Linked DNA regions of Tribolium castaneum. The protein of the gene in region 3 purifies or fractionates together with the protein of the main gene of each other region. This does not show direct contact. Links are inferred from orthologs where the notes say so. Each region holds a gene or a part of one and is shown on either strand. Other genes may lie near its edges.

Evidence for each region.
Region 1: the proteins of Pfdn4 (region 3) and Pfdn5 purify together in Homo sapiens (affinity purification with mass spectrometry; 5 studies listed by BioGRID and IntAct, counting the BioPlex papers as one, with this or other methods). This does not show direct contact. The link is inferred for Tribolium castaneum from reciprocal best matches to the Homo sapiens genes PFDN4 and PFDN5.
Region 2: the proteins of Pfdn4 (region 3) and Pfdn6 purify together in Homo sapiens (affinity purification with mass spectrometry; 6 studies listed by BioGRID and IntAct, counting the BioPlex papers as one, with this or other methods). This does not show direct contact. The link is inferred for Tribolium castaneum from reciprocal best matches to the Homo sapiens genes PFDN4 and PFDN6.

Annotation. Positions count from the first base shown.
Region 1 is NC_087400.1:9,617,719-9,628,002, reverse strand, and holds Pfdn5 (prefoldin subunit 5), read right to left. Parts: upstream 4,767-10,284; 5' UTR 4,688-4,766; coding exon 4,586-4,687; intron 4,530-4,585; coding exon 4,395-4,529; intron 4,348-4,394; coding exon 4,273-4,347; intron 4,223-4,272; coding exon 4,070-4,222; 3' UTR 3,994-4,069; downstream 1-3,993. Other genes in the region: uncharacterized protein LOC103314387, read left to right, coding at 5,068-5,141, 5,280-5,403, 5,455-5,493, 5,544-5,570, 9,541-9,633, 9,682-9,901, 9,952-10,079, 10,133-10,223 and 1 more. UniProt on the Homo sapiens protein: Binds specifically to cytosolic chaperonin (c-CPN) and transfers target proteins to it. Binds to nascent polypeptide chain and promotes folding in an environment in which there are many competing pathways for nonnative proteins.
Region 2 is NC_087394.1:25,214,380-25,224,622, reverse strand, and holds Pfdn6 (prefoldin subunit 6), read right to left. Parts: upstream 6,167-10,243; 5' UTR 6,030-6,166; coding exon 5,966-6,029; intron 5,921-5,965; coding exon 5,604-5,920; 3' UTR 5,529-5,603; downstream 1-5,528. Other genes in the region: fax (failed axon connections), read right to left, coding at 270-563; vesicle transport protein GOT1B, read right to left, coding at 3,145-3,195, 3,252-3,333, 3,387-3,565, 3,627-3,718, 3,771-3,795; glu (structural maintenance of chromosomes protein 4), read left to right, coding at 6,430-6,657, 6,703-6,894, 6,940-7,116, 7,170-7,274, 7,322-7,509, 7,556-7,696, 8,344-8,533, 8,581-8,763 and 2 more. UniProt on the Homo sapiens protein: Binds specifically to cytosolic chaperonin (c-CPN) and transfers target proteins to it. Binds to nascent polypeptide chain and promotes folding in an environment in which there are many competing pathways for nonnative proteins.
Region 3 is NC_087395.1:16,371,648-16,381,898, forward strand, and holds Pfdn4 (probable prefoldin subunit 4), read right to left. Parts: upstream 4,479-10,251; 5' UTR 4,343-4,478; coding exon 3,938-4,342; 3' UTR 3,767-3,937; downstream 1-3,766. Other genes in the region: ARL14 effector protein, read right to left, coding at 2,933-3,382; rut (Ca(2+)/calmodulin-responsive adenylate cyclase), read right to left, coding at 5,581-5,915, 7,767-8,004, 8,062-8,079, 8,142-8,268, 8,466-9,964. UniProt on the Homo sapiens protein: Binds specifically to cytosolic chaperonin (c-CPN) and transfers target proteins to it. Binds to nascent polypeptide chain and promotes folding in an environment in which there are many competing pathways for nonnative proteins.

The DNA.
Region 1 (10,284 bases), on a different chromosome or scaffold from region 3:
CTAAAGTAATAACCCATATTTTTGTAATTTATTTTTCAAAAAAATGTTCGGAGTGCTTCATTTATACACAATTCAACAAATATAAGTTTATTTAGTACTCATCAATGCTTTGAAGTAAATAGGTAAATTTTTCTCTAAAGAAAACTTATGTACTGTGTTTTTTGTACTCACCAGAAAGGAATGTAGTCACACTGAAAAAGTAAAGAAAAATGTAATAATTACTCAAAAAGCAGTAAAGACGTCATATTTTGCTGGTGCAATAAAGTCAAAAAGTAGCATTTTTGTAAATAGATTTCTAAGAGGATTCAAAAATCGAAAATAGGTACTTACGTATAATAAATACAAATTAACTCATAACAATAACGACTTCAAAAATAAAAATTGGAGAAAAGGTTTGAAATGCACCCTTCTATACGTTTTTAAGAGAACATTTTGTAACTAAATTTTATATTTTAAAATTAATAACTATAGTTGCTCTATTGTTTTGATAAAATATAACTAACTATTAAACTGTTTTTTATTTAAAAAACTATTATGGTGCAAATAACTAAGCTGTTATGCAATGACAACTCATATGCCAAAAGCATGCTATTGGCACCACAATAGACACAAAGAAACTGCACGTCTAATCTACAGAACTGATAGACTTACTGTCTGTAATCTAATAATCTTATTATCTATCTATTACAAGTTTATATACTAGGTGGGCAGCCTTATCGCGCACCTTAGGACGTTCAGGCTGGTGTGTAAAATTTTAGGATTTTTATTTCATTAGAAGTCGCGACTTTCTTGGGTGCGCGATAAGGTTGCCGCATCCAGTATAAATAAGGAAAACTGAAATAAAGCATGTTTTTTTAAAAATATTTACTTATAGCGAGCATTGATAAGATTATCAGATTTATTTAATACAGGATCATAATTTTATTTTTAGTACTTTGTTACACAAAGACTAACAAATTCTAGAAAAATAATAGTTTCATCTATCTATAAACATTAAACTCATATTTCAAGGCATTTCAGGCACAATATTATACAACCTGTTCCGTATAAACTCCACATTAGAAGTATTGAAAGTTGGTTCTCAGTCATAATCTGTCAAGTTCTGCCCAATGAAAATATTTTCAAGATGGCGGCACTTCCGATTATACCGGAAGTCGCTATCAACTTTTTTGTTTTAAGTAGAATGTTAAGTTTTTCACTACGTTATTACATATTATTACTTATTACTATACTTTCTATATACCTAAGTTTAACCGTTTTAGAGATATACTAAAAGTAGTTTAATTTTGGCCGATGTCGTATAAATGTATCAAATAACACTTTCCCATCTGCTACTAGTTTTGTCTTTGTTGTTACTATGCGAATGAGTGAAACAAAATACAAACCGTCAAGCGTAGCGAAAAATGGGAGGGTCTACCAATCGTCCCCAAACTATGGGATGCCACTTTGGTATTTGTTATGTTTATTGTTGTTAAATAAATTAATATGTCTTTTATTTGTTTGCCTGGTCAACCCTATAAACAAAATGTTTACTATTATCAACAAATATACATGTTAATTATGAATTTCAATTTGAAAGTGATTTTTAAATCCTAAAAACTTTTTAATGTGAACAATTTGTAAACAGCATTGTTTCTTACTCTCTTAAAAGATTATGTTATGTTTAATTTGTAATTACTTAATTTACTGCTACAGCAACTTTCTAACACATTATAATGGTATTAATTCCACTAAAGGTAAAAATAGGATTAGTTTCTTAGACACAAGTAATTGGTTGTAGATAAGGGTTTTCACGTTAGAAAGTTGGTTTTAAGGGTTTAAGGGTCACTTTACCCTTATCCTACTCTCACAAATTCAGTTGTTTCTACATCTGATAATAGATAGGAGGTATCAGTTACTTCGAAAAAATGTATGATAAACATAGTGGTGAATTAATAAAAAGTATTGTTAAGTTTTTGTTAAAAAACTTGGGGCCAGTAATTCCTGTTCAGTGCTACATAAGACGTGCTGCAGAAGCATTAAAAATTGCTGAGAACATTATAAAAAATATTATAAAAGAAAATTTGGGTGACAGTTAAGGGATTAAAAGAAGTATTGGAGAAAAAACACATCTACCAAGGCAGTTGGTCGAATTTGAGAAAGCTTTTGCTGTCTATTGGTATGTATTTTGTTAAATATCTTGTTAAGTACAACGAATGCATTTTTTTGTTTTAATAAAATTTAATTACAGTCGAACTTCTCTAACTCGAATCGTCAAGGGGAACGAATATTTGTTCGAATTAGAGAAATTTCGAGTTATAGAAACTGAAAATATTTTTTTATTAGAAATGAACATTATTACAGATTTGTATGAACATACATATATATTTTCTTTCTCAATGCATATAACTTGTGATCAGATTTTGACGTACAGTTTTTTTGATACAATTGGTTTCATAAAATCGCTCGATTTTATTTAGTGAATTATAAACAATATCAGTTGTCATATTGGCAGAATTTCCAATTTCCTGAGCAAACTGTACCGTTGACGCTCTGTTTTCATTAATTTTAGATAATGTACTCGACGGAATTTCATATTTTTTTTTCTTTTTCACCCCACTGTCCATTTCTTTTTCAATAGTTAGATGCCATTTTTCTAGAAAATGTGCCAATTTTTGCGAAACTAAAACTTGCATAACACTGCGCCGAATTGTGACGAATAATTTCGAGTTAAAGAAGTTCGCGCATGCTTTGTTCATTAAAATAATTTTGAGTTAGAGAAATTTTCGAGTTAGAGAAGTTCGAGTTAAAGAAAGCTAAACACATGTAAATAAGATTGGCAATGCAAGGGGAAACAAAAATTTTTGAGTAAGAGAGAAATTCGAGTAAAGGAAGTTCGACTTAAAGAAGTTTGACTGTAGTTAGTTAAATATAGTGAGGCCAATTTACAAAACACTTAATTGCAATCAAATTTTAATTCGCCTGATATAAACCGGCCCCTAGGTGTAATATGACTTATGAGTAAGCATATACGTATAATATAACATATTTTTGTTTTTACAGAGTTTCATTATAAAAGAGACTGCAATCGACGAGCTCTGTGTCAGAAGCCACAAATTGTTTCAAAAAGATTAATTTTTTTGAGAAAATACGAGGAGTATAAAACAGTGAATTTATACGACTTTCTCGACGAGACATAGATTTTTGCCAAAGGAGGAACTTGGAAAACTTGGAAAACGCTTCCCTAATATTTTCTTCAAAGACAAAATCAGACGATTACCACGACAACGTGTCTCCTTGAAAAGCTCTTACCGTCTTTAGAAGATCCGACAATAATTGTATTAGACAACGCATCTTATATTCTTAAATATTTAAGTTTTTTTGAAAATTATTGGATTTGCACCTGACACTTAAAAAATTCGGTAGCTTTTTTAGTTTGAGAAATTTCGAAATTATCTTTGAAGAATTAAAAGAGAAAGCCTATAAAATCTGTTTTCTAATGTGTTCAAAATTGGAAAAGAAGTGTAAAAAACCCAAAATTTTAAAGTTAAGTTTGTACAACTTCAAGTACCCATAACTTATATTAATATCCTAATTTTTATTTTACTAGATGGAGGAGAATATTTTTCTTTATCGATCTATATTAGCATTTCCTATAACCATCTATTATAAATACAGGCTAATCCAGAAATACTGAGACTGTTGGCAACATTGAATTTAAATTTTATAGAATACCATTGGAGTACGCTTCCAGTTAACAACAATTCAACAATCTTGTGGTATTGTATGTTAAATAATTGTCAAAAGTAATCGAATTCGGTTGCAGTCTTGCAAATTACGAGCCATTGTTGCCAACAAACTCAGTTTTTGTGGATCAGTGTGTAATATTCTCAGTGATAGTCCAAAACTAGCTGTATATTTGGTTGCCTATCCGGCAACAAATTTTGACCAAAATTGATTAATACAAAATGTAGACAATTCCCGAATAAGTCAGGAACATAAAATCAAATAAAGTGGAGGTTAATTTATCTTTTTATTATTAGGTAAACATTTAAACACAGTTATAAATAAATCATGTACAAAATTAAACTCAATTCTGTTGCTGTTGCAGCTTTAATTCCACAATTTCCACAATAGCATCTCTAATTTTGCTTTTTTCCAACCCCAAAATTTGAATTTTCTCCATCTGTTCTGTCACAAACTGAATTTTCCGCTTAAAGTAATCTTTAGCAGCATCAATATCCTAAAAAATTCAATCATTAACACACAATTTCAACATCAACATTGCTGCACCTTTTCTGCATAATATCTGGTTCCGATATCGATCAACACATTGTTGGTCTCGTGCAACTTTCCAGGCACGTACATCTTAAAAAAAAACTTTCATTAAAGTTCGTAAATATTACTCAAATTACCGATCCTGTTAACGGCACTAAAATCTCTTTTCCATCCGAATCGGGGCCAACTTTCTCCAGAGACTCTCCGGAGTTTTGAAATTTCGTCTGTGCCATTTTGAGGGACGCAAGAGATTCTTGAAAGAGCGACAATTCCTGGAAAAAGAGCAGTTTTTAGAATCATGTGCAAGGTTTGAGGTTAGGGCACATACCTGGTCTAACTGTTGCTTTAACGTTGATAACTGCTGGATATTTAGCGTCATCAGATCCACTTGCTTCATATTAGGCTGTTCTGTGGACGAAATTTGAGCCATTTTTCTAATAAATTAATAACTAATAAATGGACAAACAAGGTAGTGTCAAATAGCAATGGAGTAGAGACAAATTGCACTGTTTGAATGAACTACTCGTCGAAAGACAATGCTGTGTCTTTCATACAAGCACTGCTTTGCATTATTTTTTTAAAATTGTTTCCAGTTAAATAAATCTGTATACGTTTCGTATTTATTGGTACATATTAAAAAAATTAACAGCAAGTAGTTCCAATTTAGATACATTTAGTAGATAAATTGCATCTATTGGACTTTCTTGATTGGTGATTTTGTAATAACGTTTTTTGAACTTGATGTTTGTACACTTCAGTCAGTTTTATGATTTAATTGTGTTTTTAATAAGTTGAGAAGTCTTTTGAACAATGTACCGACGGTCAAACAGCAGCTCCCAACTTCCAGTCCCCAATAGGTCACGCTCAAAGTCTTCTGTCAGCAGGTAAAATAATGTAAACTTGTAGTACCTAATTTAGGTCCTGGTTTATTAAAAAAGTAAAAAATTACCAAAAGTACCCTTCTCCTAAATTCCTTCTTCAAGAAATTCAAATGAAATTATTGGCTCTAATTTGTTTTAAAGAGTTAGTGCAAAAGATGACAATGCAAAAAGGTTCAGGGCGAATTCCATGGACCGAACCTTAAATCCGCCCTTGAAAAGATCAACAAGTTCGTCAAATTTGAGAAGACCTTCGGTTACTCCATCAGTTAGGTTTTGTTTTGTTTCGAGAACTTTATCACTCTAATGCTGATTGTAGGTTTCTTATAAAAAATCAACGGTCATTACTCCGACTCTGGTAAAACAGTAAATACAATTGACATAACGTTAAACACCTATTTATTTCAGAATTCTGGGTTAAAACGATCAAATTCTGTAAGTGTTTTAAGTACGGATATCTAAAGATTAGGATACGAAACGATGTACATACAAATAAAACGTTCCCGTTTTTAATGGTTCCGCTAATGTCGCCAGAGGGCGCAGTTAAAAAAGTTTTCTCTCTTAATACGCAACAGAATTTCAAATACAGACTGATCCAGAAAAACTGAGTCTATTGGCAACACATTTGAAAGTATTTGTGCTCGTAATTTGTAACATTGCAACCGAATTCGATTTTTCTTGACAATTATTTGACGTCCAACTCCACAAGAATGTTAAATTCTTGTTAACTTGAAGCGTACTTCATTGGTATCCTTAAAAATTTAAGTCCAGTGTTGCCAACAGACTCAGTATTTCTGGATCAGTCTGTATTATGTGTACATCATATTAAAGGTTTTTTAATTCTACAGGCTAATGCGTTGAAAAAGTAAACTCCTTTAAGAAAAGGTTTAATTTATTTTTGAGATATTGCGATTGATGTAAAAGTCGCGTTATTTTATCAGTAAACTTCAAAATTTGTTTTAGGGTTTTGATATTTATTACAAAATATGAAATTTCAACTAATTTAACAAACGCCATGTAGTAGAACACTGTTGTTTTTAAATTATCAATGAATAGACTGATTTTGTCATATAATCCCCCATAGTTTATTGCTTTTGCCTATAGAGGCGTTGCTCGTGCCGTTTCTGTGGATGGTCTTTTGGTTGCTACCTGTTTTTGTCCCAACTAAAGCAAAGGACGGATTGTGGTCATTTTTAGTGTTGTGTAATTAGTGTAATTACCATAATATTTTTCGGTTATTTTAAAGAACCAGTGGCTGAAACATATGAGGGACAAAAGTTATTTTTCTGATAGGAGATTTTTTGAATTTGAAGTTTCCTTAACTATTTTTTTAAATAACTGCTTTGTAGGTTTATTTATTATGCATATCAATTTTGAACATTATGACAAAATGAGAAAATAATGTATTATTATTATTATTAAATCCATAATTTTTGCACATAAGCCATTATCTTGTTATTTAAGTTCGCCTTTTTCAGTGTAGTATATCACAGAATAAGTTTTTGTAATATTAGAGATCAATATTTGACACTGAAATTGGTATACAAGTGTGTAGTGCGTAATTTTTAAATTCTTTTTTTATATACAGTCTTCACTAAGTCAAAATTTTGAATTTTGATGAAGAAACAGCCACTTTTGTTTGTTTGGTTGAAAACTTGGGATTATGTTTTGTCCAAATTTAGATTTTTGTGTTTTTTGAATTCATTTAATTTTTTTCGAACATTGGGCTTTTCGGGTATTATTTCTTGATGTCGCTGGGCATTTGATTTACACAAGTGCAGATTCCTAATATCCAACCTGGAGGAGCTGCTAAAAATGGTTTTTTTTATATCAGGCCAACTTCTTGACTTTTTAATATTTTAATAGTCACTTTTTCTTACTTCACCCCTTACCTCATATTTATTAGCATTTCCGCGAAACATTACATATAATAAATTTTCCACCATAATTTGTGAACAAAAAAAAAAGTTTTACTGAGGTGATGGTGTGTATTTTAATAAATTATTTTACGTTGTTACTTATAACTAAACTCAAAAGCAATAGGTTTCACGTTAATATTTGTTGTTTTCGGTTTATAACTTTTATGTTACTTGAAATATTGCCATGTTTCATTATTCGATAGATCGACTTACAAGTACACAAACTAAAAATATTTTTACTGCACACAGGGTGTTGTATACAGGCTCGTGAACCAAAGTTATATTTTTTAAATCAAACCCCTTATATATTTTGCATAATTAGATTCTACGCAAAAAAAATAAAACTGTTATGGGTCTATCTCTTTTCGTTTCGGAATTATTTAAGTTTTTGTTATAAAAAAGACCAATTTTTGAAAAATCATTGCGAAGTCACCTATGAATATTTTCCGATAAATTTGCAACAGAAAAACTTGGAATATTCTGTAGTTTCAGCATTAGTCGACTTTTACTTGAAACACCCAGATAATGTACAGATGTGCCAAAACGTAAAAAAGTTGAATAACTCATATATTTTTCAAATGGAACACTATGTATTTCTTTACACGTGTCGATAGCATTTTTATAAGTTTTCTAACGATATGCGGTTTGTATAGTAAATTAGAAATATTTCCTAAAGTGTTTTTTTCTTTTTTCTTTTATATTTTATTATTAATTTTTGATGTGTAAAATTCATTGATGTATCAAGTAATAATTAAATTACTAATGTAATTAGTCACATTACATTAGTACATATCAAAAAATTAATTATCATTTGACAAATCAGATTCTAGGATAACAAATTTCTTGTAATAAAATACTTTTTTTTAATCTCGAAAAATGTTTTAAATTTGCTATGTAAACCCTATACCATTAGAAAGCTTATGCAAAATGCTATCGATACGTGTAAAAAATACATGGTGTTTTTTAAAAAAATTGACTCATTCAACTTTTTGCGTTTTAGCACACCCTGTACATTATCTGCGTGTTTCAAGTACAAGTCGACTATTTGCTAAAACTACAAAATATTCTGAGTTTTTCTAATGCATAAATAATCACTTCACAGTGATTTTTTAAAAATCTTTTTCATAACGAAAAGTTGAATAATTCCGAGTCGAAAAGAAATAGATCCAAATAGTCCACATAAAGTTATATTATTTTTTTGCGTAAAATTCAACTATGCAAAAATAATTTAAAATAAGTTATATTTAAAAAAATATAACTTTGGTACACCAGCCTATATACAACACCCTGTATACTGGGTGTGGCAACCTTATCGCGCACCCAAGATAATGGCGACTTTTGATGAAATAAAAATCCTGAAATTTTACTCACCAGCCTGTACATTGATAAGGACCATTCTCGATTTTTATTAAATTTTTTTGTTAATAAATGAAGTCGTAGCAGTTTTGTGAGTTTTTGGGCATTAACTGTTAATTTGACTACAAAGTTTTTAGACCAAATGAATCCTTACCTGCTAGCCCATCGAACGCTGGTATCAGAATTATAAATTTTTACTTGGTTGGTGAAATAATCGGTCTTTTTTATTTAGACGCAAACTAGACGCGTTATTTATTAGAAGATGATATAATTTGCCAACAAAGGGATCAGTTACCAGTAGCCGACCTTTTTGAAGCCCCTTATTTACAGTCTTGCAATAAAACTGATGCCTGCATTCAAATATCCTATCAAAATCTTTTACAATCTTACCCCAGTTACAGTTCACATTGTCACCACAAGTAGCCACTCAAATAAAAATAATTTTTAAAGTTAAAATGTAAAAGTGCGTTTAATTCAAAATCTCATTGGTGTTTTTCTTCGCTAATTTCGTAAACAATTATCTGAAGTGAATACGCGTGGTTTACTATAAAATTTAGAATTTGACTCTTTGGTCGAAAATTACTTTTTTTAAATTATTATTTTTATCTGCAAGTGAAAAATTACCAAAACATTAGGGGAGATACCTTTCGAACGTACAGTCAGGCGTGTAAAATGCAATTTTTTTTATTTAATTAGAAATCGCGATTTTCTTAGATGCGCGATAAAGTTGCCCCACCTGGTATAATAAAAATATTTGTAGTTTGTGTACTTTAGGTCGATTTATCGTATAATAAAAACGGCATAGCAATATTTTAAATAACAAAAAAGTTACCGATTACACACCCCTAGGTCACCCTGTATCTTTAACCGTATTCGCAGCGTCTTGAAAAATACGGAACGAAGCGCAATTTCAAATTTTATTAATTAACTTTTTTCTCATGTTTTTTACGAAAATGTTAGTTTTTCTCAGTCTGTCTGTAAAAAGTGCAAAGCTCAACATTTCTGCCTTTTTTCCAAGTAATTATTAAATTGATTGGATTTAAAACGATTTGGCGATTTTGTACCCGTTTCATCTCCTAATACCTTGTAATACTCCGTACTTTTAAGTTTTTTAACAAAATTATTGATAGAACCTCACAACACCTCGCTCGCGCAGCAAATCCCCCTACAAGATCGGTTCAGCAATAAATGACAAAAAGTGGGTTTCGGACCAATATGCCAAAGTGAGTTGCCCAAATTTGGCGATTGGATGAGAATGTTGGATGTTTTAGGTCTTGCGATTTCTCAGAGAACACCCCAATTGCCCTGAACACCTTCCCAACACCATTAAACCACCAACCATTAATTCATTTGTGGCCGTTTTCAACCTCCTATTCAAAGAAATCGATCCGCGCTTTGAAGTCAACACAACTAACTACAAAGATATTGTCTTGAACACACTCAAAATTTATCAATTTCCAGGGAACATTTCGCTTTCATTGCTAAAAACTGGTAATAGTTAATTTAAGCTTAGTTATTTCTATTTTAATAATTTTTTTCAGTTAATACAATGCATGCTTGGCCACAAGTGATGGGTATTCTTGGGTGGCTTGTTGATCTTGTTACTTACATAACACAGACAAATGTAAATTCAGCTCTAGAACAAGATCCCAAATATCAAAAAGTTGAGGTTGTTTTTATAACATAATAAAAAAAAATTGTAATAATTATCAATAATTTTAGTGTGTTACTAATTATGTTCTTGAACGATACCAGTTGTACAACAATAATGACGATCAGGAAATTGCAGATCAAGCAGTTAGTCAAGAACTTGGTTAGTTTATTATTATTACAGATTAGTTTTGTTTTTATTTTATTGTTTTTGTAGTAAAAGT
Region 2 (10,243 bases), on a different chromosome or scaffold from region 3:
AAAAGTAACTACGCATTGAAATCACCACGCGTTTAAATTAATTGTGCATAAAAAAATCGATTCTGAATCACGTCGGTGCGCGACGATAAGTTTTTTAATTACAAATCAGGTAACAAAAGCGTTAAAATCAATAAGTTTCGTGCAGTTCTGCCATTTTCGCCCAATTTTGAGCCTCAGCGGCAAAATGGCGGCTTGTAATAAATAACAAAAAAATCGGTACATCCCCTATTTTTTCTTTTGTTCAAAAACAAACTAATATCTAATCTCACCTCGTATTTAATGCCAGCCAGTCTCAGCCAAGACTCGACTTTGAGGCAGAAGGGCGACAAGGATGGCAGAAGCGGCGTTCGTGAAAACTGGTAAAGATAAACGACATCTTTTTCGTAGTTGGATTTGTGCACTAGCACTTTGGGGGGCGCCGGCTCCTTGTCCTTGGGGGCGTCGCCGCCGGCTTCCTGCTTCGCCTCCTCGGCTTTGGCGTCGGCGGCCGGCGTCGTCTCCTCCTTGATCTCCTTGGTCTCGGCGGCGGCGGGCGGCGCGTTGTTCTCGACTTCGGTGGCCATTATATTTGATTATTTGAAGAACACAAACACACAACTGCTACCAACACAACAACGACGTACACTCGAGTGTTGCTCCAGCGAACCTGACAAGAAGAGTTAGCGGGCGGGTCGTGACGTCACTCTTCGGCAAGCGAAGCGAGCAAGCGACGCTCAACCCCCACCCCAACGGCGTTGTTGCCATGCACATGCATGGGGGCCCCACCCTTGTGCGACTGCTGCACGCAGTTCGGAGATGTTCGTTGACCCATCGCGAGATGCTTTTTACTGCATATTTTAAGGGTGCATGGCGGAATATTACGATTCGATTAAATAGCGCTCGCCCCAAAAATTTGTTTTGCATTATAGTAGATAAGAGACTTGATTAATGGTTATACTGCAAATGGGGGCCACAACTATCGACCATTATTAGCTACAGTAGAAATGTGCATAAAATGTTGGTCGAAAAATGGGGACAATTATAAAAAATAAATTTTTGCAAAAAAAAAGAGGAGAAACTCAAAAATGCAATGCACAATAATTAAATAGAGTTGAAAATAAAAGTATTTGCATTTTTAAAGGGTGAAGTATATCTCAAAAATATGCTTTCGGTGTAAATTGTAATTCTCAGTAGTAAACGTAGACCCCACTAATAAATTTAGAGTAAACTTAGAATCAGAGACCCTCGATCAGACCAGAATGAACTTTTTTTAAAATCCATCTTTTTAATCTGGAGGATATTTCTTGTTCTCTGATATTTCTCTTTGCCGCCGCGTTATACAACCAATTATGAAATAAAAATTGGTTATGGTGTCGCAGCTCAAAAGAAAATCATACTAAAAAAGAGAACTTTTTTTTTCTAAAATGTCCGCTCTCAGATTTACAGTGGTGTAATGTTGGTTGCGTACCTTTCTATTTTTTTTAATTCTAAACTGTTAATTTCTTTTTAAATTAAAATGAAACGATTAAGACGTTCATACCTATTATTAATTAATCATGTTTAATGGTATTACTTTCTGTTTTAAAACTAATAAATTGACGACGTCGCATTTTACCAAATTACTTTTTTAAATAAAAGGTTAAAAAAATATGTGAAATAGGGATCTGTGTTTTTTTGTTTTTATGAATTTAAGCACGATTTTTTTTTAATTTCTCAAATTTCCTTTTCTTTTTTCGATTTTCCGATAGTTAGTTTTTGAGCCATGTTTTCTTAAGAATACTCTGAAAGTAGTGTTATTTTTATCTACTACAAGCCTTTAAGTTCGTTATTCATTTTTTTTTCATTGAATTTTTACTAAAACAGATAGAAAAATCTCCAAATTGAGTTAATAATAAATTATTTTTGCCTTTATTCGAGCGTTTAGAACATTTTTCAGTTAGCAACGCAATTATTTCGCAAAATTTTGATGTAAACAAGCCGCAAAATCGTAGAATCACGTCAAAAATTGTGTATTTCCGAAAGTGGTCTTTTTTCTTTTTTTTAATCTTTACTTGAATTCATTATTTTTTAAGCAATATTTTGTCAAAAACAAGAAAAAGATAGCATTATTTTTATCTTCGACGAGCACGTTTTTCAAATATTTTTTTAGTAAATATTTGCTAAAACAGAGAAAAATTTTCAAATGGCATTAAAAATAATAATTATTTTTGCTTTTATTCGAAAAATTAGAAAATTAGAAAAACATACAAATTGAGTCAAAATTAAACTTATTTATGCATTTTTTTGGGCGTTTAGGGCATTTTTTAGACAATAACGTTATTATTTCGCAAATTTTTGTTGAAAAGAAGTCGTTAAAATCGCAAAACAAAAAATTAAAAAGAAATTTTGGAGACATTTTTTTTTTTTTAATTGGATTAAATTGATGTTTTTCCTTCCTTTATCGAATTTAGTTCGTTTATTATTCATTTTTATATTTTCGTAAGTACGTCCTTAAGCTATAAGCTCGAGTACCTACTCGTATAAATTCTTATGAGATTCTACTAAACCACCAAATTGTGTTAAAAATTAGTCTACTGAATTTTTTAAGCGTGTTATTTGGATGTTTATATTTTCACAGAATTATACCGCAAATTGTGTTATTTTATTTACAAAAATAACTTATTTTTGTCTTTTTAGAGCCAAAGGACGTTTCAGAGGTAAAAACTAAGTTTTTTTCTGAAACATATCGCTTATTAAACCAAAAATTAAAATCAAATTCTACCAAAATTAATGTTGTTTTTTGTTTTATTCGATTTTGTCCGTGTTTATACAACGATGGACACGAGTTTGAGAACGACTTTACTAGCCATTAACGCGAGCTGTATACACTGTTTTTTTTCTACAACACGACCTGTCTTAAAAAACTACAATTTTTCTCATATCATTGTGAAAGTGAGATGCAATTTTTCATTATAAACGATCGGGGAAAATGTTATTAATAATCAAATAAAAAATGTGCCGACATTTATTATAACGATAAATGGTTTTTGTACATTATTTGGAAAATAAAAAATCTGTACAGTAGGTATATTGCAAATGAAATACATTTATTTGTAATTAAATTAAATCTGAGCCACCACAATACGATGCAACAGCACCGTTCAACAATTTTGTTTGAAATCAAGTCTATTTCAAGTCACACTGTTGTCCTGTTGGAGTCTCCAGCCAGTTTATCAACTAGCTAAAAAATTGGAGATATTATTCCAAATTAAACTGTTTCGAAATTTGAGTACCTTGCTAATCCCTGGGAAATTTAAAAATGTTCCTAAAATGGGTACTCTTCTGAGAAAGTTGATGGCAACTGGGAAAAAGCCACTAAAATTATGCTTTGTCAATTTTACAACTCTCAGACACAAGACACATTATACCTAAACAATAATACAAATCCGTAAGTTTCAAAGAGCATTCCAACTAACGGCCAACCTACAAGCACTATCACTATTCCACCAAAGAAGGAGATTGAGGCTTTGATTTTGTGCCTTTGGAAAAAAAATCTAAACGTTCGTTCTAATCCTATAACACATGCCAATCCAGCTATAAACAATATCTGCAACAAAACGAAATGTGATGTTTTTACATGCGCTAACAGCAAGAAATTATTTACTTACATTTCCTAACGCTAATAAACTCTTATCGAAGAGTAATAAAACACCCAAAAATAGGAAAAACATCCCAAAGCCAGCCAGGCCGACCCCAATTTCTGTAAAAAAAATATTATCACCAAACATATTTTGGCAATTGTTTAAACATACTTTGAGTATCGGTGACCTCAAACATTTTCTATTTTAATTTGGCGATTTATATAAAGAAAATTTTAAATTTAAAACGTCTGTGACATAACCTCACAAAACACATCCACGTCACTGGTATGAGTTGGAACTTTTTTCCACTGGCTTTAAATATTACTTTAAAGTTGAAATAGTCAAAGAAAATTGCACGTTTTACTTATGATCACGTTTTCTTACACTTTAGCGCAATATTTACTTTCTTGATCAATCATCTTTTGTGTTGTTAAACATTAGTGTTTTTTATGTTGGCTTTATTGGAGGCGCGAAATTTAAACCGAGACAGTTTTTTGCAAAATCAATTTATTACATCAGTTTTAGAATAATTCTATAGGCTTTGAAAGAGGCAAACACAAGTGATGGAATTATAATAGGAATGAGAATTTGTTTGTACCATATCTTCCTGTTTTTTCTAACAATCTGCAACAGTAGAAATTAATTATAGTTCAGACGTGTTGCAAAACTACCTTTTGCTCAAACTCGTCTAATTGTTTTTCTAAAGATTCTACACATTTTTGCAAACAATGGGCAGCTGGTTTCAACTGAACATTGCACACAATTGTATCCCTTCTATTCACTGCAATAGAAAGAGCAGCTAAATGTTTCGTCAAATGCATAGACATTTGGGCTAAAACTAATTGTACGTATTTTTCATCTATCAAAACCTCTGTATGTTTTCTGCAAAAAAAACATTAGAAATTGTGTAATTATTCGGTTGTAAAAAATACTCTGCAGGTATTTGTAAATTATTAGCATGTTGTAAAACAGCTAATCGAATTTCTTCCTCCTCAATACCCAAGATTTTTAAATCTTCTTCATTGAACAATTTGAGAGTGAATGCATCAATGCTGAATTGTTTAAAATTGCTTGAATATTTTTCAGCTTTCGATGTGCACAACACCGTGTCGAGGATATTCATTATTGTTATTATTTGTTTATTTATTTTAACTTCGTTTTAAAAATTTGGCTAACCTAACCAATCTTTTGCACATTTGACAATTGACATTCAAAACTGCGCGGATTTTAAACGTCAATTCCTTTTTACCTGATGTTCTTTAAAATTATTAGTTTAATAATAATAATTTAATAATAAGTACTGTTTTTCTTTTAAAGGCGTTAACCTTGTGAAACAGGACTCTGAAGTCGTATTCATTTTTGTGCTGAAGCGGAGCAATAGAAAAACAAGGCAGCTCCCTTCAAATTTTAACATTTTTCGAGATATTTGAAAACAAGGTCAAAATGCTTAAAATCTGTTGTGTGCTGAAGGGGCCTTCTTACTGCTAACTTTACACAAAATGTTGCACCCTTTCGTGTCGGCGTTTGGTTTAATCAGTTCCACGTTTTCCTTTCTTGGGGGTGGTAAAAAAGATGAATTTCCCACCGAAGACGGAATTTTGATTTTGAACCAATTTAATTTTAAAGAGGCGGTCAGTCATCACGAACTTTTAATGGTTAAATTTTATCTGCCGTGGTGTAGCCATTGCAAGGCTTTTGCCCCCGAGTATTTAAAAGTGTGCAAGATTCTTGAGAAACAACAATCAAAAATTAAACTGGGACAAGTGGACGCGACAGTCGAGAAGGCATTAGTTCGAGAACAAGAAATTGGGGGTTTTCCAGCACTGAGACTGTTTAAAGGGGGCTATCCCATAACGTATACAGGGCTTCGTAAAGCTGAACACATTGTAGCATGGTTGAACAGAAACAGTGGATAATTGACTAAATAAATAAAGCGTTAACGAGATTTTTATTATTCTTTCGTATTACAAAACGTGTTAATAAATAAGTGATTTTTTCGCAAAATTAAGCATGTAATGCAGCCTTCACTTGCGCCTGTTGAAACTGATGTTGCAGCTTTTGGAGCGCCTCCCTATGCACATCTTGCTTCTTTTCAATCGAAGTGATCAAATCATCAACCCTCGAAATCTCTTTCTTGATATAATCCATTCGTTTGCCCACATTTTGTCTAGCTTCAACAAGTTCAGTTTTGATAAGGACTGGACCAACGGACTTGTACACTTTAGCATCCTTAGGAAGGATTTCTAATTCGTCTTTAACAATCATATTTTCGTTTAACTGACTGTCTAATTGTTGTCTCGTTGAAATCGCCTTTTGCAACTCTGGAAAAGTTTGGTTAGGTTGGACAAAAAACCAGATTATTGTACCTTTTTGTGTGTTTTTGAAACTGTCCAGCTCCGACTGGATTTTTCTTTGCAGATCTTCACTCATTGCTCGGTTTTATAATCTTGGAGTAAATATAAAAGTGTATCTTAATTTTTCCTTTTTGGGCAAACGTCAAAATCAAACAGGCCGACCACCCACACGTCTAGGGATTTCTACGTCACCAACTAGATATACTAAGGACAAAAAATTTATTTCGCTCTAAAAAAGAATAATTATCCTGTATTTCGTTAAACTCAGTTAGTTACTGAAAATAAGGGGGCGATTTACACTTATTACACGACCCGTATTAATACATGAATTAAATAATGCAACTAACTTCACCCTAAACAAAACAACGCAACATAACCGTTAAAATTTGAAATTTCTTCGTGCTTTGTGTTTTCAACGAGTTTAGTTGTGTTATGCTTGTGTTCCGCAGTTTCTTGTATGTTATGTATGTGTAAAAATGACGGAAAACAGAGGAAAGAAGCGCGAACACCCAGACAACAGCCAAGTCGAAGAAGACTTGAACTTTTCGGACGAAGAGGGTATTTATGTGGATGATATTTACATTCCGCCCCCTTTGAAACGTAGGAACGTCGAGAAGTCGCAAACTCGCTTAATAATCACAAAGATCGTGAACAATTATTTTAAAAGTTACGCTGAAAATGTAGTTTTGGGGCCCTTCTCTAAGGTACGTTTGTGACGGTTTGGACAAGAGACAATGAGTGTTTTGTAGTGTTTTAATGCCATCATTGGCCCCAACGGTAGCGGCAAGAGCAATGTCATTGATTCGATGCTGTTTGTGTTTGGATATAGGGCCACTCGCATGAGGTGCAAAAAATTATCAGTGTTGATTCACAATTCTGAACGGTATCCTAATGTTCAGTCTTGCAATGTGGCGGTGCATTTTTGTGAAATCGTAGATAAGGTAAGGCTTAATTTTATGAAATTGTGAATAAGTGATTGTTTTTAGCCCGGGGAAGAGTATGAGGTTGTTCCAGGTAGTGAATTTGTCGTGTCAAGGACTGCCAATAGAGACAACAGTTCGTTTTATGAGCTCAATGGACGAAGAGTCCAATTTAAGGAAATTGGGAAATTGTTGAAGGGGCATGGAATTGATATCGACACTAACAGGTTTCTGATTTTGCAGGTTTGCGATTATTTCTCCTTCAAGTGCTTTATTTTTGAATGAAATTTTGTTAGGGCGAAGTTGAGGAAATCGCAATGATGAAATGTAAAGGAGCAAATGAAAACGAAATAGGAATGTTGGAATATCTGGAAGATATCATTGGAACACACAGATACAAAGTAAGAAGTTTAATTAGTTTAACACAAAAAAAAAAAATTTGTTGTAGAAACCCTTGGAGCAATTAAATGAGAGAATAGAATATTTGTCGGATTTGCGCACTGAAAAACTCAACAGACTCACATTGATTGAAAAACAGTTGGAACAACTCAAGGGACCTATGGAAGAAGCGCTTACTTTTCTGAAAACAGAGAACAAAATTGCAGTTTGTAAGAATTTCTTGCATCAGAAAGAATTGTGAGTTTGTTTGGAATGAGTGCCATTTATAACCCGTTTTTTCCAGACATGATTTAGAAGCTGAAGTGAAAGAAGTGGAAGAAGACAAGGCGAAGTTAACACAAAGTCGTGACGGTTTAATTGCAGAATTGAAAACCATTTCAGATGAAAAAACTGAAAAAGAGAAAATTTTGAAGCAAGAAGCTGGGTAAATAAATCGTTTATTCAATGCTATTAATAAAATACTCATTTTATAAATTAAATCTGATTAATAAAACAATAGTTTAATCAATAAAATGAATCAAAAGAATAAATAAAATATTTATAGCAACGCTTTATTCACTCTGCCACACAACCGTTTTTTCTGTATCAGATGATACATTATTTCTTTATCAATTCTTTTGAGTACATAAAATAGCACTTTACCACAAGCGTACATAAATTGTTTTAAATTCATTGTATTCAATAATTTATAAAGTTACAAATTCCAACATGTTAATTTTAAGGATTAACAATAGCTTTTTTTTTTAAACTTAATGTCTCTGCTATAGAAAAATCAAAGTATTATTTTCGTGAAATAAGTCTTTGTTATTCTTGAACTTAATCGTAAATAAACAATCTCTTTATGGTCTTGTATAATAAATAACTATTTATTCATCTTTTTCATTTAAATATTAAAATTTAGGTTTTCAAAAAGCGAACTGAAATGTAATTGTGATTTAACGTTCTAAAAATATTGAATGCTATACGTGAATAAAGAGCTTTTATCCCTTCAAAAAATTATTTAAACAATTTTGTATTATTCACTTAAATAGCTATTGAAACATTGATTTGTTTTAACAATTTTTTTTCTAGAAAATATGAAAAGTTGCAACAGAAAAAGGATCAACTCAAGGATGCTTTCAATGCGGCTGATAAAAAGGATGCCCAACTACAAGCCGAAATGACAAACACTAACAATAACAGGAAAAAATTTAAGCAACAGCTGGAAGATGAAAAAAAGAAACTAATTAAGTTACAAAAAGTGCCTGAAGAAAATGCAAAAGTAATGACAATTACTTGTATTTAATTTTTGTTAACTTTTTTCTGCAGCTCATTGGAGAGTGTGAGAAGCGAGAGCGTGATTTAACATCACAGCACGAAAAATTACAAGCAGAGAAGGCAAAATTAATGGAAAATATCGGTCATGAGACGAAAGATCTACAAGTGAAGAAAGAACAGTTTGAAACTAAACTTGGTAAACTCAAAAAGACAGTTGACACAACAAAAAATGAGGTAATTTATTTTCTAAATCCATACTTTTAATTGGTTTGTTAAATTATATATTGATAAAAATTATTTTTTTTATTATGATCCGGTTATAGAAAAAATAGTGTTTGCAGTTTGCATTTAATATTAATTAAAACACGAATATCTACTAAAGTTAAATGAGTACTTGTTAATACGTACTATTGTTACTCATTTTTTTTAGTATGATTTGGCTTCCACGCAATTAAATTTTGCCCGAAGCAGTGAAGAAACCGAACAAGAAAAGCTTAACCAACTTCGTGAAACGATTAAAAACAAAGAGGCTTGTATTAAAGAACGTTCTGGAGAGGTGTCGCAACTTAAAAAGAAAATTCCTCTTACGGAAAAGTCACTCAATGACGCGCAACATGAACTAGACGCAGTTAAATCCGAACAAAATCAAATTGAACATGAAATTAGACGACAAAGGATGTCTTTGGAGGAGACTCGTGCTTCCATGAACAGTTCCAAGTCACGTGGGAGAGTTTTGGATGCTTTGATGCAACAGAAGCGTGAAGGGAAATGTCCAGGGCTCTATGGACGTCTTGTAAGTAAAAAAAATAAAAGTGGGACTTCTGTGAATGATATTTCCTTAGGGTGATTTGGGGGGCATTGACCAAAAATATGACGTGGCCATTTCAACTGCGTGTGGACCATTGGACAATGTTGTGGTTGATACAGCAGATACAGCTGCATGGTGTATTGATTTTTTAAAAACTCACGGGATTGGAAGAGTTACTTTTATCGCACTTGATAAACAGGAATATTTGAGGGAACGTGCCAACACCAGAATTCAAACGTGAGTCATTTCAAAATAGGATTGAAATGAGATACAGATTAAACGGTTTTAAAATGATTAAATGCAGTCTGTTTACTAATAATTTCTTGGAAAAAAGCTGAAATGTTGAGCTTTAGTAACATTCCTGATAGGCTGAGAAGAACTCATGACTAAAATTTTTACGAGAAACATGTAAAAAAAAATTGAAACTACTTTCCAATATTTTGCAATACGGAGAATAAATATCGGGAGGCGACATAATCCGATTCGCCGTTTCCAAAAATTTAATATTTTTTTCAAAAACTGTTTCGGTGTTTGATCAAGTGTCAAGTAATTATCAACCTCAATTTTATTTTGCTTGAAAATTTCCAACTTTTAAACTTTACAAAATATTTCGGAAAATACTATTAGTAGATAAAATCCGCTTGCAGATTCAGGATCCCTGGAAAATTTTGTCTGTGACAGGCTATTTGGATGTTTGAAAAAATCTCTTACTACTTAAAAATTTTCATTTAAATTTATATTGACATACAAAATATTTTTTTTTATTTATTTGGTCGCTTGATATTTCTATACACTTCCAAATAAAAATTTAAACAATTAAATTTAGTTTTGTTACAGGTTTTAAGTAATATCAGTTAATTTAATAATCATACATTTTTTAATTTAAAACTATTAAAATTTAAAGAC
Region 3 (10,251 bases):
CTAGCTGGACACTGGACAGTGCTACGCTTAATCCATTATTCATAATTTCCACAATAAAACATTTGTAATTTAAATATTTCTGATGGTTTGTACAATCATTGAATAAACTTCAGACGTAATAAGTGATTCGTGGTGGATGATTATCACTATCATGGTGTAATAACAATTACCAACAATTAATTAGTGTTAATGTCACAAATTTTTGAACAGCACTGTGTTTTTTAAGATCTAAAGGTCAGCAGTGGACTTTACCAACTCATTGGGACACACAGTATCACAAAAAGGAATGTCTCAAAGTGTGCCTATTGTACATAATTTTAGAATCTGACGCTGCATAGGGATTGCCTTAATGCAAAAATTAAAAATTATAACATTAGAGATGAAAAAGGTGGAAAGACAATTTTTTTGTTACTACATTAATTGTCTTACAGCTAATTTAATTTACAACCATTTCTGGAAAAAAATTCCGCCTACAAAGTACATAACGAAAGTTTCCTAAAACGTATCACATTGCATCCTAATTTTAACTACTACAATAATAATTTCTAATTATAGTATAGCATATAGTTACAGGAAAAACAGATCACTATTTTACTTATTCTTATTACTTAGTATTTCGTTAAAGTTTTACGCTTCATTGAAAATCATATCTTGCACACTGCTATCAAGTCTCGATCCAAGCGCTAGTTTAATTACTAATTATGTCTTTAAGAGTTATAGGTAATGAGAGCAGGGAATAAATTTTACGGTCTTTAAATCTGTAAGCTTCTTAATGTGACATAATAAGCTACCCCTATTATATTACTACCGCTTATGGCTTCCTGTAAAGCAAAACCGATAATTTAGTGCTGAATTCAGATTAATATTTTTTTTTATAAAAGTGCTCGTAAAAGTAACTAAATCATTGGGACTTTCATAAAATCGTTAATGTATCTATCTGTGTGTAGGCAATATGCATTTAAGTTAATTAATTCTAATTGATACTTACATTAAAATTTTAAAATTACCTATGAAGTCATACCTACTTATTTCTAATTTAGGACGGATTCGATAAGAGCATTTTAAAACCTACCTATTTTAACCATTTACATGTACCTACATACATTTATTTAATTATAAATAAATAAAAAATTAAAAGTGTAGTTTCGTCGATAAGACTCATCCTATTGGTACTAAATTCATGATGTTCAAAGTCCAATTTCTTAACACAAAAATTATATTTATTTCGAGGCTTTTCCTCACTTTTGCGTCTACAGGGAATAAAACGGTGTAAAATACACAACTATTTTGTTTCATTCTTACCTCCAGTTATCATCCTGAAAATAGGTTTAGATATGAAATTAGATTCTTTAACTGATGATTATTTAACAATAATTAAAAGCTTTGCAAATAAGAAATAAGCACAAGAAAATGCGGGTTTTTGTCACTTCTGGCAATCAACTTCGACCCATAGAAAGCGTCGTTATGGAAACCCTTCAACAATAACACAGTTTCATGCTTCACATAAATTTAAAATTTGTGAGGATCGAAGTTGCATTTCATGAAGAAAATTTAATTTTTCTTCCTGTCCTGGTATAATGTATTGAGGAGAAAATTAATTTAAATTGCATTTAAACTCGTTGGCGGAGCCGAGTGTTTGTTTTATAATCTATTGTTTATTTTTAAGTAGCTGTCGAATCCCACCACATTACGTTCTTCTCACGCTTCTACTTTTTAACTTGTTTATAGTGGTTTCTTGGGATCAAAACGTTAAATTAAAAACCGTTAATGCATTAACGAAAGATAAGAATTATTTATGAATTATATGAAAGGAAAATGTTCCGCCCGCCTTGATGAGTTCTAGACGTGTGTGGTATTTTGATAACAGTAATATTTTTGTTTATACAATAAAAGTGAAGAATAAATCAAAATGGAGGAAAATAATTTGTTATTTTGGTTAAATCAGAATGTAGTAAAAAAGTGACACGTGACAAAAATTATGTTTTTTGCTCAATTAAACTGTTTACTTATTTGCATTTTAACACACCTGCTTAATTGGCTTTGCCGTAATTACTATTTTGTGCATAATAATTACACATTACACCAGTTTCTTACCTACATTTCTTGAGAATCATTTCATGAGATACATAGTGCTGAAAAGTGGAGTAAGTATTAAATAAATAAAATGCAAAGAAAACTTTAGTCTTCGGAAGGTGATTATTCCCTTAGATCAGTACAAGGAAATTAAATTTTGTATTTTACTTATTTTTCAACCAATGGTTTACTTTAAAAAAATATGCAAATATACTTGTCGCCTATAATGAATAAATCGGTCGATTTTTTTAACTAAAGGTTTGGGGTGAAGTTGCTTTATTTATTTTATAAAAGATTTTTTTGTTTATACAAAAAACTTTGAAACAAATCAGTAAAACAATTTTTATTTATTGTAAAAAATGTGAAATTGCTTTAAATGGGGAGATTTTACCAATTTCAAATCGACCGAGTACTACTGTGATTTGTAGAGGCAAACCAACCAATTAAATGTTGTTGACTTGATGTCATGCGTTAAGTGTCAAAACGACGGTAAGCGAAATTTTAACGAAAATGTAAAAATTGTAGCCACTTTTGAAAATGCCTAAACGTTGAGTTTTAGTACCAAAGAAATTATTTATGTTAATTTTTAGTTTAAATAAATTTCTACCGGGTGACTATAAAAAATTGTTTCTGTATATGTATCACAACTATACCATAACATTCAAACATAGGGTAAATAAAACTGCAACATAAGTTTATTATTATTTATTAACTATTATAATGTAGTCAATAGAATACAACATTTTAAAGAACACAAATAAAATACAAAATATAGACGAAATCACTGACAATAAATTTGATATGAACGATATTACAAAATTCGCTAATTCTCAATCATAATCACCGAAACCCATAAAGCTCAATTCCTAAATAAGGGATTCTTCACCACAATATCGTACCCATGGTACTCAAGCTGATCATAGACATATTTCCTATGGACACGGCAGTCAATTCCGCATTTCCTTGAGCCACATTTGGGGCATGGGAGAAAGCATCCCACGCACTCTTCACTCAAGCAATCGCAAAGATCAATGCAAGTGGCGATGTGGATTCCATTCTCGTCATAGAGAGCCCCTGGTGGCCTCCGAACGTTGCTTGGCGGATTGATTTTGCGATTCAATTTCCGTTTCTCGCGAATGCTAGTCTCAGGATTAAAATTTTCCAAAAATCGGTTGGCTACCGTCAGAGTTTTCTGGGACCCGGGGGTTCTGATACGGCTGGGGTAGGGTTTGGGGTTGGACGTCGATTTTTTTGCCACTCGGTGGAGGGACGGCCGGGGCTCATCCTCTTCGCTGCTTTCACTGCTCATTGTTTCGGTTGTGACTATTTTTTAAAAGTTTTTCTTGTAAAATTGAATTCGAAAAAATACAGCATAACCTCAAAAAACGAGACAGTTGACAATTGTTTTGTCAAATTGGCGCGAAGTCCGGTGTACACGTATCTAATACGTAAATTGATGAAGGGGTGACTAAAAAATTGAATTATTGAAATATTTGTGTTAGGTCACTAACAGATTAAGCAGAAAATTAGTGTTTAATTGTAGATATTATAATTCACAAGATAAAAAACAATTCGCGTCTTCTTGACAAAATCAAAATGGCTGTCTTACAGTCAGGCGGAAAAATTAAACGCCACAAATTTTACGAAAAAAACGATGGTTTTTATGAAAATACAGAAAAAATAAGAAACAACATTTGTTAATTCATATTTTATTACAATCGTTATTACACAAAAATCTTTACTGGCAACATGGGAATGACAGTAAAGTGACAAAATGTCAAGCAACAGTTGAAATAATGTCACAAATTAGTAATATTAGGCGTGAAATTTCTAAATAAATACCAAAACGTTCCGCATAAATAATTTATTCCTCTTCAGCTTCTAAATTAATATGGCTTCCAAATTTTCCGTAAAGATGTGATTTCAAGTCGCTCATTTGGCTTTTTACATCATCTGATTGGCTTTTCAATTCCTTGATGTCCTGATCAATTTTCTTCTTAGCATCATCGAGGCACTGCTGTGTGGTTTCAGTGTCTTGCAGGATAAATACTTCCCCTACCAAATAAGGAATTTTCTCCTCTTCATCAAATAACGCAATTTCGTCACATGCTTCTTCCAAACTTTTCAGATCGTTCTCTTTCACCTTAACTTCTTCTTTAAGGTCTTCAAGTTTGGCATTCAAACGTGCAAATTTGTTAATTTTTTGCTGGTCTTCGTAGGAAATGTGGACGTCAGAATCCGGCTGAAATGTGCCTTTGCTCCCCGCCATTTGTATTAGTTTCTAATGGATTTGTTTCCCTTCAAAGCTAGATAAAAGGTTTATAAATGTAATTTCTTGTGATACACTTAATGGAAATCAGATGCAAAAAATAAGGTTAGGTTACGACAAATTGACAGATTAAATAATTTACAGGTTTCTGTAATTTGCGAAGTTTAAACCGGCTAAATTTAAATTAGTTACACATCGTGAAAATATTTTTTGAGGGTTTTGTAATCAGTTGTTTATTTTTGTATTTAATTCAACAGTTTTTTTAAGTTACTTCAAATTGTGGAAAACTTGACAAGCTTAGAAAAGTGCACCGAACAGGGCATAAGGTACAAGACAGAACCGGACAGAGTCACTTTGCCGAAGGAAGTAAAAAAAAACGCAGTTTTGATAATGTATTTAGTTTACTTTTATAAGCATTTAATAAATCATTAAAAATTTTCCAACACATATTATGATCAAATTTTAGTCTTTACAGATAATAGTAGAAAATATAGTTACAGAAAATAGGAAATACAAAGAGAACAACAATAATAATAAACACCAAGATCGGATATTCGAAGAAAATAGAAATATTTACAAACCACCAATATATTCAGTGCTACATTTAGAAATGGTGATCACAGAAAGAAAATTCCATTATAAATCCGGTTTAAGATGGAATTAACAAATAATACATCTGATGTATCCTGTAACAAAAGTCGTACGTAAGAGAGAAAGAAAGTGTAAAACTCAATTTAAGTACACCAGTAATTTAGAATTACTAATGATATAAACTATATAATTAAATACAAAATATTGCATCCACGATGGTAACAAATAAAATATGTTCCATAAATAAATAAAATCAACTAAAACAGGATTATATACATAAGAGACGCCATTAGCAAGATTTATACAAATTGTTGAGCCACTATTTCCCGTTAAGTAATAAAATCATCATTCAATACACAACAAAGATATCACTAATGTAAAAAATTGCATTCTTTGGTTAAAACCAACTACGTGGGTGATATCCAGCTTGGTAGAAAGCTGCCTAATAAAAAATCACAAAGTATCAGTCCCTTCGCGCTAGAAGCACCATTGCGATCTAGTCTAATATCAACCAAAATACGAAAAAGTTTTGATCAAAACCATCTAACGAGATAATCACCCTCCGATCTTGTAAACGCATCTCTAATCAAATATAGTACATTCAGATTAATATCGTCTATTCACCAAATCATAGAAAATTTTAGTCCCTAAACATCACTATCTGGATCCGTTTCACTTCGAGGCTGTCCAAAGTTTCTAGTAATACTCTCACTCATTGATCGGATATTTGCGAGATGAACGTCATTCGCAGGCACTGAAAAATAGTTAAGTCTGTCGAGGTCAGGTACTGCATTTAGATCGTCATCAGTTCGATAGCAATTGTCGTATTCGGAGTCATAGAGAGCACTTAGAGAATCCAGAGACATCATCGCGTCCGAGTCGAAGATGCGCGAGGAGGCGCGCGACGACATGCTGGTGTTGTCGTCCATGTCGCCCTCGTGGTTGTGGTCGTTATAAGCAGAGTTCACGTCGCTCAGGGCGCCTTGAAAGTACACCAACAAATTATTTTCTCTTGCTGCACCCACAAGTTCAGATAAAGTTAAATTCAAACTTGACAAAACACTGCGGATAATTTTGCTTTTAGAAGCTTGTGAAGTAGTATTTTTCATTAATAGAAAGGCTGATAAAAACAAAACTCCAGATTAAACGTTAAAACGTACGAACCTACTGACTGTGCCAATTAAAGTATTGTAAAAAACAAGCCTTTTTTTTGCAAAAAGAATTATTAGAGCTGGCAGCAAGACATACACTAAATTAATTATAGAAACAAAAGTGAAATAAGGACACGGCATTCGATGTACAAGTAATAAAAGTAATAGAAAATAAATACATTTTAAATTGGTCAAGTTGTAATATAAAAATATCTCAATTAATTTTGAATCAAAAAGTAGTTTCCTTCAGTTATTTCTGAGAAAATTACTCTTATCTTGAGCTAAAGCATAGTGATTTTGACAAAAATAATTCATTTTTCCTCAGTTCAGACCAGACGAGACGCTTCTGGTTTCTAAGAAAATCTTTTATTGACTTTTTTTTATAAATTATGTTAAAAAATGTATGAACTACGACACAAAATTTTGCCTATACCACAATCTCTTTAATGGAACAAATTTTTCGTACAGCACGTGGCGTATTTTCTGATTATATCATGAGAAAAAATAATAAAGAAATAAATAAATAAGAAAAATAAACGTTTCTATCGTTGTTTTCCACCAAGTCAAGTCAACTAATACTTTATTCAACATATTCGTATAGTACCTAATAGAACAGGTGTACCAAAATAAAAAAGTAATAATAAATTTATACTCATAAGTTTACGGTAAACCCAAGAGTTTGTTGTTGTTTTTTAAAATCTTAATTCTTAAGTTAAAGTAGGTATAATAGAACACTTTTATTTCCTAGTGTAATTTGGGTGTAATTCTCTAGTGTATGTCGCTCTTTGAACAATTTTGCACGTTACACCGGCGAAATTTTAGGAATTTACACTAGGGAGTGGACGCTAAGAAACTGGACGACTTTTATGTATTTTTTCAACTGGGCATAAATGTTAAAGAAGAATTTATTTTCTCCTCAAAAAATTCCACATATCTACACGGTCATTTAGAGTGACTGTTTCAGTTGATAGCTCGAAATTTTATTTTTAATATTTAATAATAATTTAATAATATTACATTGTGCTAAAATCAAAATATCTTCGAATCTGTTAGCAACTGATCTCATCATAGGTTTTTTCCTAGATAAACCAATACACGGACCAAAGTTTTTGTGTCATTCTGCATGTACAAAGAACAGATTATTTGGCCAGGGTTTGTCTTATGATGAACATGATTTAATAATTTGTGGTATCGTAAATAATATGTAAATGTTTCATAAAATAAAATTTTATCCTCCTTATTCTGAATAATTATGTAAAGGTCCCAGATAATTCACAAAAGATAAGTCAATTCAAACGTCTTTCTAATATAAAAAGCATGATTCTTCATATAAATCTAATGTTTCACTGCACTTTTAAATAATCTATCCATCAAACGTTGTAGTTCTTTTAAAATTTGTTAAAAATTACTTGTTACTTTTGCAAGCTCGTCATTTTACATTAATCAGTTGATATTCAATGTCAATAAGCCTATCTATTTTTGAATAAACTGTCAATATTTTATCCAAAAATGATTAAGTACTCGAAATTGCGCTCATATTTTCTTTTGGAAGGACAAGCTCAAAGAATTTTGAAATAATGCTTGTTTTTTATCTTAAACCGTATTCGCAGCGGAAATTGGTACTGATTTTTTGCTTCCAAAAAATGTTTGCTAACTTGTGCTGGTGGAAATACCTGACTCACCTTCAGCATCCGTGAGTCCAGTTTCGTTAATCATCGAAATATTCTCCAGCGCTGGATCATCCGTGGTATACCCCGTCGATTCCCTATCATTCAAAAGTGGCTCAGAAGCCCCCCCGTCCTCATCCTCCGACCACTCCGACTGGCTTCCCTCCGCCCCTTGACTCTCCAAACCCCCATTTTCCAAATTCCTCAACTTTTCTTGCACTTTCTCCTCCAACAGTCTCTTAACTTCCTCCTCCTGTAAGCGCGATTGATACAAATTGTTTAGGTAATTGTTAAACATTGAAGATTTTACCAACTCTCGGTCCACAGGCTGCTTGCCACAATCACCATTTTAAAATCAAACAAATTCAGCAAATTTACCGAGTGACTCACCCTTGCTGCTTCTTCCTCCATGCGTTGCTCCTCGCGCTCGAAGCTCTCAAGATCAGTGTCGTCGTCTCTCTTGTGAACTTCCGGCATATCACAGTCAACATCGGCTTCCTCAGCCGACTTCGGAGCTCTACCAACACCAGAAAAATTATTTTCGCAATAGGACACCTTATTCGAGATTTTGCGTCCCAGTGGAACGTAAAATCTCGAATAGGCTCGACCTGTGCCAGAAATGTACGTGACAAAGCATGAAGTGCGAGCAAGCAGCATGAGTGTTAATGAAGCTGAGTGAGGCTAAAATGAGACACGATGTTAGTGTTCCTGTACCTGTCAAGAGGCGACACTTTTGGCTGTTTATGGGATTCGGACGGTCCTGGGGACGCTCCCCGCTTAAGCGATCCCTCTTTGCTGCTTGCTCTGGGAGGGGACATGCACTGGAGGGTAACACTGCCGGTGGGATTCACTCTCAAGCCTAGAGCTAGGGCCTGGATCGCCGCAAGCCCCACCTGGTGGTTGTTATTGTTTGGAGCGTACCTTACAAGCGGCTCCAAAGCCAGGTCTTTGTTCTGCTGGTTCAGCTCGAACTTTGGAGGGATGTTCTGGAGGAGGTTCTGCTCGTCGAGCAGTTTCTGGATCTCGCGCTCAAACGGACCAATCAGGTTCTCGTTCTCGGTGTTGTTCACCTTGTTATTGGGGGAAATCTTGTCGCGGAAGCCGGACGGTGAAGTCTTGAACCGTCTCAGGTCCTTTTTATCCGTCTGACAACAGCCGTCTTTCTTCAAACTCTTTTCGCCAAGGTTACGCGTTTCGTCCTCCTTGAGTAGCTCGCGGATTTCTTCCGCCTCTTTGAAACTAGGGGACCTTTTGCAGTTTGCCGCCAGTTTGTTGCACTCCAGGACCGAATCGCTGTCGTTCCGTATCCGCTTATCGAGACTTTTCTGCTTGATTGGAAGTTTTGAAACCGCACCGTTGGCGCTATTTGCTCTTAACAGTGAAGTTGGTTTGGTTTTTGGTCGAGTCACAAACTCAAAACTGGCACAACTCTCCCCTTTACAACTGTCTTCGCCGTCGAGAACCGGCGGACTTGTCACAATCGACGAATCAACGGTGTTACAAGTCCCAGCAAGAGCCAGGACCGCATTCGGTGGTAGATTATTCCGCTTAGTGTTGTTCCGATCACTCGAACTGTTCCTCAAGGAACAATTCGCTGGGATATAGTCCAGTGACGCTCTTGGCGACACCTCCGGTGACGAACACGGATTAACTTGAATATCCGACGGGAATAGGAACTGTTGAGTGTCTGCAGGAAGTGGCGGAGACACACAGGGGGAGGCATCAGCGTCCGTTGTCCTGCTGTAGCTCTCGTCCGAGCTGCTGATGCTGGGCGAGTGGTTCAAGGAGCTGATCTCGTCGGCCGACGAGTGGATGCGCTGGGGGACGCCCGTGGTGTACAGCCCCCCTAGACTCTCGTCCGAGTAGTGTCGCTGCAGAGGGCTGTGTCGGTTGGAGTGGGGGCTGTGGCGCGAGTGCAACGGACTGTGTCTGTTTTGAAGGGGGTTGTGTCGGGTTTGGATTTTGTTACGGAGGAGTTCGGGGGTGCGCTCTGGGATGTTTTGATGTGGGAGAGGTGTGAGGATTTGATGAGGGGGTGGGACAGGGCCGCCGGAGCCGCCGTTGTGATGTTTTCGGTGGTGGCGGTTCGGGGACTCCTTGCCTGGGGGCTTGGGGAGCGGTTTGAGGTAGGGTTTGATGTTCTCAGATGGTCGCGCTGGTATTGCAGAGTAGGGATTCGGAGCTCGAGGCCACGGGGGGGTGTAGCGCATGTCCTGCAAAAGTACGCTAGGAGGAAAGAGAATTTGCGAGGGGAAAAGCTAGCGTCTACTTAAAATAAACTTTCCGTTGAAAAGTAGTACGAAATCGTTTTGCGTAACAAAAAAAACGGTGCCATAATAGATAGTTATACCGAGTGACTATAAACTAATATTGTGTCAAAAAATCCATAGCCTTGCTGATAGTTTGTTTAACAGGGACATTTTTTTAACTCTGAGCATAGTCCCAATGTTCAATTTGACAAAAAACACATCAAACCTTTCGATGTATAAGATAAGTCACC